Arabidopsis thaliana: one gene and its partners. The protein of the gene in region 1 interacts with the protein of each later gene in a pairwise test. Each region holds a gene or a part of one and is shown in the gene's direction. Other genes may lie near its edges.

Region 1 (3,475 bases):
ATCACCAAGAAGAATCTAGCTATATTGTGAAACTAAGGATTGTTCCGAACATAAACAAAAAATGTGTTGAAATATATTATATTATATCTAAAATAAAATAAATAATATAAATATTATTATTTTGGCAAAAAAACTATATTAATATTGTTTTAAAGAAAAAAAACTTTGTAGCTAAAATGATAAACATATATAAGTGATTTTTTTTAACTTACATATCTCGTTAACGTTTTTTTGTTTTTTCGTTAACGTTTATAATTTGTAAGAAAGATTTAAAAATGAAATATTTTCATAAATATTTAAATATTAGATATTTGATCCGCGGTTTGGGCCTGTAGAGAATCTTAAATTCATTTTTTTTTTCTGTTTTTATTTTCAATCTTTGAGCAAAACAAATAGTTAATGATGTTATAGATTCAATTGTTTAACAAAAACTAACTTAAGAAATTAATTTAATTGAATGATTTTTTTTATAACTAAATTGAATGATATTGCAAATATCTATTTACAACATTAAATATATTTGTTACTATAATGATGTTAGTGTAAAAAATATATTCATTGTTGCACCCAAAACATTCATAATTAAATGTTAGTTTTAAACTTGGCAATCGAAATTTTATATTATTTTTCTTTCAAATCGCTCATATGATGGCAGGTTAACCAAATATGTTTTGCTTGTCCGTTTTTTTTTTCTATCTGTCTCCAATTGTTCAAATAATATATACGAGATATTGAAGAAATGGTTGAGAGAAAAAAATGAAATGGTTGAGAGAAAAAAATGAAATGGTTGAGGTTTATTTAAGAAGGAGAAGTAACGAGAGTGTGCATGTATCCACAAATAACCCAAATTAAAATAGTACATCTAGCTATAAAAAACGTCCCGTCTCAATGAAGTAATCAGACGACGGTCTTATGTATTTGGGTCGATGGCGAAGCTATTCGATAGAGAGTTCAAGATCTCTGATCAGCACATGTTTATATGAAAGATTTTGGTGCATGACTCCTTAAAATATGTATGAGTATTGAAGAGACACGTAACTCGATAAATATATGCAAACGTACGTTCTAAATATCACATCAGAAGCTAGCTTGCACAGTGTTACAAGCCGGTCAAAACAAATTTCTGACTAGAAACATTTTCTTGCCCTTGCATGGACATGTCCATGCATGTTGTTGATATAATAGAAAGTTTATCTTGTTCTCAATCAAAATAAATAATTCTTAAATATTGAAATATGTCATTTTTGTTCGAACTTGTAATAGGAGTTTTACAGTTCTCTTTTCCAACTAGATAATGTTTTTCCAATTTTAATGCAATTTGTTGTATCCATAGCTAGCTTGAGAAGAAAAATAAAATACTAAAGATTAAGAACTGCCGTTCATGAACAAGAATGACACTATTCCCCTGCCGTTCTTAGAATTTCAAGAAAGAGCAAGAAAGCAAATATAAGAAAACAACAAAAATATATGTTTTCTTCTGTCTAATGGATGTGCGTAAATGTGGAACACATAAATATAATAATATAATGGAAAATGAGTAAATAAATTGTTAGAGAAAACCATGGGACGAAGCAAAATCATCTTCTTTGCTTCCCGCTCAATTGTTGGAACTTTCAAAAGAAGCTTCTTGTATCTCCCCTATATATATATAGCTTATGGCTGAACTAACTAGTTTATCCTTAACCCTCCACTTTTCACTCTTTAACAAACTCAAAATCCTCAATTTAGTCAATCATCAATGGAGAGAAACAACCGCAACGAGGGGACTCACGAAGAAGAGCAATGTTCGCTTTCTGATATTATTTATTCGTTTTGTTCAGAAAATCATAGTGAATTAAACCCTTTGCAAGAGATATTCGGTGTTACCAAAAACAATGATCATGAGAAACACGACGAGGAGCCAGACGAGGAAAGTTACCGTATGGCTAAACGGCAACGTTCCATGGAATATCGTATGATGATGGAGAAGGTGAAGATGACTTAATCTCCTTCTTCTCTTACGTGATTCCCTAGCTAATTTATATTTTTGCTTTCTAAACTTTGTAGAAAAGACGAAAGGAGATCAAAGATAAAGTAGATATTTTGCAGGGGTTGATGCCTAATCATTGCACAAAGGTTAACTATTACTTAATTTACTCCATATTTTTTATATATTAGAGTCTAATACAATATCAAGTTTCGAATATCGAGTTTCTTGTGTGTTTATCTACAGCCGGACCTTGCATCGAAGCTTGAAAACATCATTGAATACATTAAAAGTTTGAAATATCAAGTAGATGTAAGCATTAAACTATATCTAATTTAATTTAGTTACTTGTATCCATTAGAGTATATATGTTCTTATGTGTTATGTGGATGTGGTCCAGGTTATGTCAATGGCATACACAACAACTCCGGTTTACACACCACCATTTTATGCAGCAGCTCAAGCACCATGTATGTCTCCTTGGGGCTATTATACGCCAGGAGTTCCAATGATGCCTCAGCAAAACATGACCTATATCCCGCAATATCCTCAGGTTTGATCAAATTAAAGTTTAATCTGATTCCACAGATTCTGATTTCTGCCATCAATCTTTTATCACAGGTATATGGAACAGTGCCGCCAAATCAAACTCAACCTTAAAACAAGCTCTAGCTATGTGGCTTTTTAAGACCCTCCGGCTTTAGACTCGTTGCTGTTTATATAGACTGTCTTTGTAAACTAAGATATGTACATAGATACATAAATACATACGTAGTTTTATGTATAACTTTTAGTTTGATGCCACAATATGTAAAAACACCTGTTTTTTATGTTCTGTTTTGGTTGAGCATTGTTCCTCTGTTATTTATGTTCTGTTTTGCTCAACCTTTTTCTTTGTTGAATGTAAGTTAAATAAACAACAAAGATGTTATGTTACGTGTAATAGTACGTTTGTACCAAACATTACTACAACCCTAGTTTGATAATTTTTATCTTGAATCATAGAAAACGAACTAGATCACTAAAATGTTAAATTCAAGAAGCAGAATACATTCATTGGCTACAAATTATCTACACACTTTAACTTTTTTTATTAAAGCAAGAAGCCAAAATAGTTTTATCTTTAAATGTTACTAAAGTAAACAAAAAATGCTTCCCGTTTAACCTCCACAACCACCACCGCAGCCAGCGGCGCAACTGGATCCATTGACATCGTCGTTAGTGTGAGGTTTAGAAGCTCGGTCACTGCATGAGAAAATCACGGCTGCTATGACGGAGAAAGCCACAACAGCTGCCCAAATGTAGAGTGAGACTTCACCATTACCCGCCGCTATTACCGCGAGTTCTCCTCTCACCATTGAAAGAGTTTTTGTGCATCGCTTTGTGACAATTGTTGAGACTAGTTGATAAAGAGAGTTGTAATTGGCATATTTTCAAATGTGTGGTTTTGCGTTTTCGAGTCAGAAGTCACCAAAAAAAAGATGCGACGACTCTTTCTTATATATACTG
Region 2 (3,763 bases), on another chromosome or scaffold:
AAATCACTGGGAAACAGAATATTAGGGATCTCCAAACCCTAGGACATTGATTCCTTCGAGATTACTGGTCTTCTTCGTTGTAGGCAAAAAAAAATGGTATTTATTGTTAATTTGTATTTTTCTGATCATGCTTGGACAAAAAAAATGACTCGTTCAGGTTAGAATTTAAAATTAAGTGTATGCGTCATATGACACAATGCTCTCGTCATCTTGTGTCTAACAGAGTGAAATAAAGAACGAACAATTGTTTGTATACACACAAATACAATCGCACCTACATGTGCACATATTTTATTACGCTTATCTATAGAAAACTGTTTGATACATTTTTTCATTCTAAAGTAAATACACAATCCAAAAAATACTATGTCATGTTAAGAATGTTTAGTATATCTATTTATTTTAGGACAAGGAACATTTAACATATAGTAAACAGTTTTAACAAAATTTCTCTGATTTGAAATATATTTTTTATATTATCAGTAAAAAGAAAACTGTAAAGGTAATTATAGTCGTTGATTAAGATTATACTTAGTTTTTTAAAATAACATGTTTTAAAAATTTTGCAAAATAAGTTTTTTTTTTTACATGTCTCATAATTTTTGTCCTCAGTTTATGTTAAAAATATTTTGTTATTTTGATACTAACATCTTCCATACGCTGAAAACATCTTTGAGAATATTTTTCAAAACACAATATACAAAAATCCACAGTGACTTTATTCCACGATGAAATGATATCAAGACATATATGTTCTTACCTTTACCTTTCAACGAAAATGAGAGAAAAAATATATATATATAGTATCACTTTTAGAAAATGTTTTTTTTTGCTAATTAATTATTATATAAAAATGTTGAGAGCAACTTGATCATATATGTAATAAAGTCGCAGTGAAAAAAAAAATGTAATAAAGTCGCATACCGACGTTGTGACTCGTTTTTATGTAATTGATTAGTTAAGTACAGAGTTCGTTAGATGTATTTGCATTGTTACAATTACAGAAAACCCTACGCAACACAATTCAGTACTTTTTACGTCAGCAAAAATAGAATCTTTCGTTGAAAATAATACCAGAATCGTTCTTGTCTTTAATTTTCTTACCTTTTTGTAATTGGATATGATTTTTGACTATGGAATTATTATTATTTTATTCTATAAAATTATAGTTTTTATTATTGGAATCATTTATAAATGCTATTACTCAGTGTTCTTTAAAGTCCATACTAACGAATTCAAGTACTTATTTAACAAAACAAAACAAACAAATACTAATAAACTAAAAGTACAAACATTACTATGTTATTAAAAAAAGCATATAGCTGCGTGATTTTAAAGGTATATGTGACATATAATACAACGACGCCGTCGTATTTTATTGAATTTTTTTGTCACTTTTAATTAGTATACAGTGAGGAAATAAGCAAAAAGAAAGAAAAAAATATTGTTGGCTCGGCTAGTACCTATAAATAAAAACACTAGTATTTGGCCCAGGATATAATCATTGCAAGTTTAGAACTAGTTAGCTAATCTAAACCGTTAGATCAAAGAAGCAATCTTACTAATCAGAAAAACAAAATTCAACAAGTTACAAGAATGAAAAAAATAGGGATAAAAAAAAGGATAATTCATTTACATTCGATCAAAAGGCGAATGCATAGATCATAGATGCAAGACACTTGTGAGTTGTGATATAACCAAAAATTTATTTAATTATATGTAATATATATTCGAAAAATTTATACACCGTATATAAAATATTCGAATAATCCTTTTCTTTGATTTAAAAATATTTTCTGCTTGTTTTCTCAACTCATGTATTAATTTAAATAATAAAAGTAGCTACCACCTTTCTCTGCCCCACTTTAAGATAAAGCTAAAGCATGGAAAAAAGCATGGGAAAAAAGTAAATATATGATATACAATCAAATAAATCTAAAAAAATAGAAAAGAAAAATTAAAGGAACGAAAAAAAGAGGGAGGAAAAAGACAAAATTAAAAAACAAAAATAAAAATTCCAAAAAAATTAACATCACATGTTATCAAATGAGATCAAAATTTAAGTTAGTTTTGAGTTTTCTCTCTCTTTCTCTTCTCTAAAACTACTTAAGCTAAAGAATCAAACACTTCTCAACGTTTCTCCAAAGCCTCTGATTAGTAAACACATAAAGAGATCTATAGAGAGAGAGAGAGTAGAGATAAAAGGTGATGAATAGAGGTGTGTTGGAGAGTTCGCCGGTTCAGCAGCTGATGGCAGCCGGAAACCCTAATTGGTGGAACGTAAGCGGCGGCATGAGGCCACCACCACCGTTGATGGGTCATCAGCAGGCGCCGTTGCCACCACATATGACTCCTAATAACAATTATCTCCGACCACGGATGATGCCCACTCCCTTCCCGCACTTCTTGCCATCTCCGGCGACTTCTTCTTCTTCCTCTTCTTCTTCACCGTCTTTGCCTAATAACCCTAATCTCTCTTCTTGGCTTGAAAGCAATGATCTCCCTCCTGAGTCTTGGAGCCTTAGCCAACTTCTTTTGTAACTATCCCTCTATCTCTCTCCCTCTATAAATATTCCAAAATGAAATATTCTCTATACGCACATGACATGATCTTGTGTTTACTTACTAGTTCACTCTTTGTTTTCTCGTGTGTTGCTACTTAGTCCTAATTACCTTTTTGTTATACGTATATACGTATATACATGTATGTGTTTGTATTTTAAGTATCAAACAAACAATCTAATATTTTGGATATTTTCTTTGTGAACTTAGGGGTGGATTGATGATGGGAGAGGAAGAGAGATTGGAGATGATGAACCATCATAATCATCATGATGAACAACAACACCATGGTTTTCAAGGGAAGATAAGATTGGAGAATTGGGAAGAACAAGTGTTAAGCCACCAACAAGCTTCCATGGTGGCTGTTGACATCAAACAAGAGGGTAACATTAACAACAACAATGGCTATGTCATATCTTCCCCGAACTCACCTCCTAACAAATCTTGTGTTACAACAACTACCACAACAAGCCTCAATAGTAACGACGATAACATCAACAACAATAATAATATGTTGGATTTCTCTAGCAATCACAATGGTCTTCACTTGTCAGAAGGGAGACACACTCCTCCGGATCGATCCTCTGAGGTAACACTTTTTCCACATCTCAGAGATTTTGATAATATACGGAAAAAGCTCGGAAATAATATCTAGTTTTACACATAAATTAGTAAACACATCAACTACTATGAAAAAGTGAAATCTAAAACGTCATTTAAAAAGATCAGGACAACATATTTTATTTTAAGGTTTGGATCTAAATTCAACACGCAACCAGGATGAGTTTTGCTCTGAATTTTTTTTGATTAAATGACTAATTGATCTTTGTTTTGTTTGTTATCTATATATGTGATGCAGTGTAACAGCTTAGAGATTGGTGGGTCTACTAATAAGAAGCCAAGGCTCCAACCTTCTCCTTCGTCACAATCAACCCTCAAGGTAACTAATTGATTATATCAACGAAACTTTGGATAACTTATATAACGTTTTCTGTATATAAATTCCCTCCCTGACATCATACTAACAAAACAAAAACACAAACACAAAGGAGAACAGAAGAAGCAAACAAAACAGAATGGGCACAGAATAAGCTGTGTGGTTTTGTGTTTTGTAACTCTTTTGTTCTCTCCTGTTTTGTCTTCTTCTTCATTCTTCAATATTCCTTTCCTCTCTTTATTTCATAAAAATCAAACTTAAATT
Region 3 (3,347 bases), on another chromosome or scaffold:
CCACAAAAAGATAAACCGGCGGAAGGAGATAAACCGGTGGAGGAAGACAAACCGCCACAAAAAGATAAACCGGCGGAAGGAGATAAGCATGTGGAAGAAGATATGCCTTTAGGAGGAGTTGAGCATTTGTCAATCCCTGAGATACCAAAGGTACTATATTAGTGATGTTCAAATTTTTTCGTTAATGATTTTTTCACATTTAGCAATTGCCGGGAAAAGAATTTGGATTAGCAAGATTAAACACTGTTCTGCTTTAATATTCCCTTCATAAATTAATGGTAGGTTATGGTGGTGGAGCAAAACCCAATTGTCCCCAAGTGTTGCGGCCCAAGTACTTGTACTAAAAGGTGTCACCCATTTCGATTCGCCATGGATGCTAATGCTACTAAAGCACGATCTATTTTTATGAAAGAATACCAAAAAGTCCCCCGTGTAGGAGCTTTTGCATATAAATATTTTACATCTCGTGACAAAAAATACGTAAACCATTTTCATATATGACATTTGGGACTTGGGTGGTTATTATTTTAAAGGGTACGCTTTTACCTTATAAAGAGTTCAAACGAAATTTATCATTTTGAAGGTATTAAATACTATAAGCTAATGTGTTTTTGTTTATAAATATGCTGCTATTAATGTACTTTAGAAAGCGTAAATTTCAGTTATGAAAAAACACATTAAACAGGTGGAATCTCTCAATTTGTCAGATTACCATGTTTTTTTATTTTATTTTAATATATAAAAATTGCAATCGGAATCTTAGTCGAGATTAAATAAAAATCTAAAACTCAGAACCTACTAGATTTTAATTTTTGATCAAACTAATCATATTTTTTACCACCGTAGATTTTGTATGTGTCACACACTGACTGCAATAAACAAATAAACAAAAAAGGTTTCCCTAAATAAGGAAACGAGGACTTTGTTCCTATATTGATCTAAATTTCCAAGTATCCAATTAGATCTCAACGCGTTTAGATTGGATCGAATTATATCACAAAGTTATTTAAAAAAATTATACTCTGAATTTATCGCAAATATATATAGGAGTATATATATGTAAAAACTTTGGAAGAAATAGAAATATGGGTAACTTAGGAAATATGAGATATTAACTAATATGGATGAAGATAAAAGTAAGTAAATTCCAGTTATATTAAGATTAGGATTGATATTGATAAAAATATGGGTAACTTAGGAAAGAAAATAAAAAAATAAAATCGAATATACGATTTAATATCTCTCCTAAATATCCGGGATCAATATCCAGTACATGTTTACCTGGAAAACAATCTAACGGCTGATTTTCCACGAATCCTATCTTAAGAAAATGTTAACCGTCGATTATGATCCTACGCTGATTCTGCTGGATTTTTCCTTATAATGACTTGGGTAAAAACTTCCAAATAAAACAAGATAATTAAGGAAACGCTTTATCTCTTAAGGAAAATAAAAAAATGTAAAAACACCAAGGACATTCACAAATAACAGCTCACGCATATCCGCATATATATATATATATATATATATATATATATCATTACACAAGAGAGTTTAAGGTATAAATACAATTAGCGAGATCTTGTGATTCTAATTCTTGTGATACCGAAAACATTGGTGGCGAGAGAGAGATGGTGAAGGAGACGGTGACGGTGGCGAAAACGTGCTCACACTGTGGCCATAATGGCCATAACGCACGGACTTGTCTCAACGGCGTTAATAAGGCAAGTGTTAAACTGTTCGGCGTTAATATATCGTCTGATCCGATTAGGCCGCCTGAGGTAACGGCGTTAAGGAAGAGTCTTAGTTTGGGAAACCTTGATGCTCTTCTCGCTAACGATGAAAGTAACGGTAGCGGTGATCCTATCGCCGCCGTTGATGATACCGGTTATCATTCCGATGGTCAGATTCATTCCAAGAAGGGTAAAACTGCTCATGAGAAGAAAAAGGGTACGTAATCTTCTAATCTCATCAATTTGATAATCTAAATTCAATGAAATTAATAAGAATAAATCAAATTCAGGGAAGCCATGGACGGAAGAAGAACATCGTAATTTCTTAATCGGTTTAAACAAACTCGGAAAAGGAGATTGGAGAGGCATTGCAAAGAGTTTCGTGTCGACAAGAACACCAACACAAGTCGCAAGTCATGCTCAGAAATATTTTATTAGGTTAAACGTTAACGACAAGAGAAAAAGACGTGCTAGTCTCTTTGACATCTCTCTCGAAGATCAGGTACTTATTTACCTTGTTTCTCAAGTAATCCATTGAGTCAATTGATTTGTCTAGGGCTATTTTTTAATTTAGGGTTTAATTGTTTTTTCATTAAACAGAAGGAGAAAGAGAGGAACTCTCAAGATGCTTCAACAAAGACTCCACCTAAACAACCAATAACCGGAATTCAACAACCGGTAGTACAAGGTCATACTCAAACCGAGATTTCGAACAGGTTTCAGAATTTATCAATGGAGTATATGCCAATCTACCAACCCATACCACCTTACTACAACTTTCCACCTATTATGTACCATCCAAATTATCCAATGTACTATGCCAACCCTCAAGTACCGGTTAGGTTTGTTCATCCTTCTGGTATACCTGTTCCAAGACATATACCGATTGGTTTGCCTCTGTCTCAACCGAGTGAAGCTTCTAATATGACAAATAAAGACGGTTTGGATCTTCATATCGGTTTGCCTCCACAAGCTACTGGAGCTTCTGACTTGACTGGTCATGGCGTTATTCATGTGAAATGAAATCTCATTTTTTGTGTGTTTATTTAAGCATGATATAGGTATATTGCTTCTTTTTTTTGGTGTTGAGTTTTATTTGAATATATAGCTCCATATTCAAAAGTTTTGCCAATCGGATTATGTATCATTTTTATTTCTTCCCAGATTAGATTAAATAAGAATATAGATATATTTGGATTTATATTTAGCTGCTTCTTTATCAACCAAAAACAAAACAAAAAAAATCTTAGTTTTGGTGAAGTTTATTGAGTAAAATCAACATTCATTGGGAGAAAATTAAAAAAATGGTGTTGATTAACTAGTAAAATCCTTTGATCAATTTCCTAGAAGCTCGTCTGGTTCTATCAGTGAGGTTTGGTTTGTCAGGATCTCCGAGTTCTAAGGTGGCACCCAAGAAACCGGTCTGAGTTCCATCGCTATCATTGTCGATGTCTCCTTCGATCGTCAATCCTTCAATCTTAGCCGCAATAGATTCTTCTCTCATCCCAACATCCACATCTTCAAAATTTGGATCGATGTTATAAGTGCCACAAAGAATAAAGTATCAACATGTAACAGTTACATAAAATATTTCCCAACTTCACAACCGCCAAA

The links.
Region 2: the proteins of AT1G68240 (region 1) and AT4G29100 interact in a two-hybrid assay, tested with the Arabidopsis thaliana proteins (one large-scale study listed by BioGRID).
Region 3: the proteins of AT1G68240 (region 1) and AT5G61620 interact in a two-hybrid assay, tested with the Arabidopsis thaliana proteins (one large-scale study listed by BioGRID).

What each region holds. Positions count from the first base shown.
Region 1 is NC_003070.9:25,574,330-25,577,804, reverse strand, and holds AT1G68240 (basic helix-loop-helix (bHLH) DNA-binding superfamily protein), read left to right. Parts: upstream 1-1,675; 5' UTR 1,676-1,738; coding exon 1,739-1,969; intron 1,970-2,046; coding exon 2,047-2,115; intron 2,116-2,212; coding exon 2,213-2,278; intron 2,279-2,366; coding exon 2,367-2,519; coding exon of another isoform or gene 2,520-2,525; exon of another isoform or gene 2,526-2,587; coding exon 2,588-2,626; 3' UTR 2,627-2,941; downstream 2,942-3,475. Other genes in the region: AT1G68238 (uncharacterized protein), read right to left, coding at 3,127-3,324. UniProt on the Arabidopsis thaliana protein: Transcription factor involved in somatic embryogenesis. Acts as a positive regulator of somatic embryo formation. Acts as a positive regulator of ECP63 by targeting its promoter and inducing its expression.
Region 2 is NC_003075.7:14,338,932-14,342,694, forward strand, and holds the start of AT4G29100 (basic helix-loop-helix (bHLH) DNA-binding superfamily protein), read left to right. Parts: upstream 1-2,033; 5' UTR 2,034-2,208; coding exon 2,209-2,537; intron 2,538-2,772; coding exon 2,773-3,151; intron 3,152-3,421; coding exon 3,422-3,502; intron 3,503-3,763.
Region 3 is NC_003076.8:24,770,752-24,774,098, forward strand, and holds AT5G61620 (myb-like transcription factor family protein), read left to right. Parts: upstream 1-1,574; 5' UTR 1,575-1,631; coding exon 1,632-1,950; intron 1,951-2,023; coding exon 2,024-2,235; intron 2,236-2,333; coding exon 2,334-2,756; downstream 2,757-3,347. Other genes in the region: AT5G61610 (Oleosin family protein), read left to right, coding at 1-150, 283-501; AT5G61630 (uncharacterized protein), read right to left, coding at 3,052-3,251. UniProt on the Arabidopsis thaliana protein: Probable transcription factor involved in somatic embryogenesis. Acts as a positive regulator of BHLH109.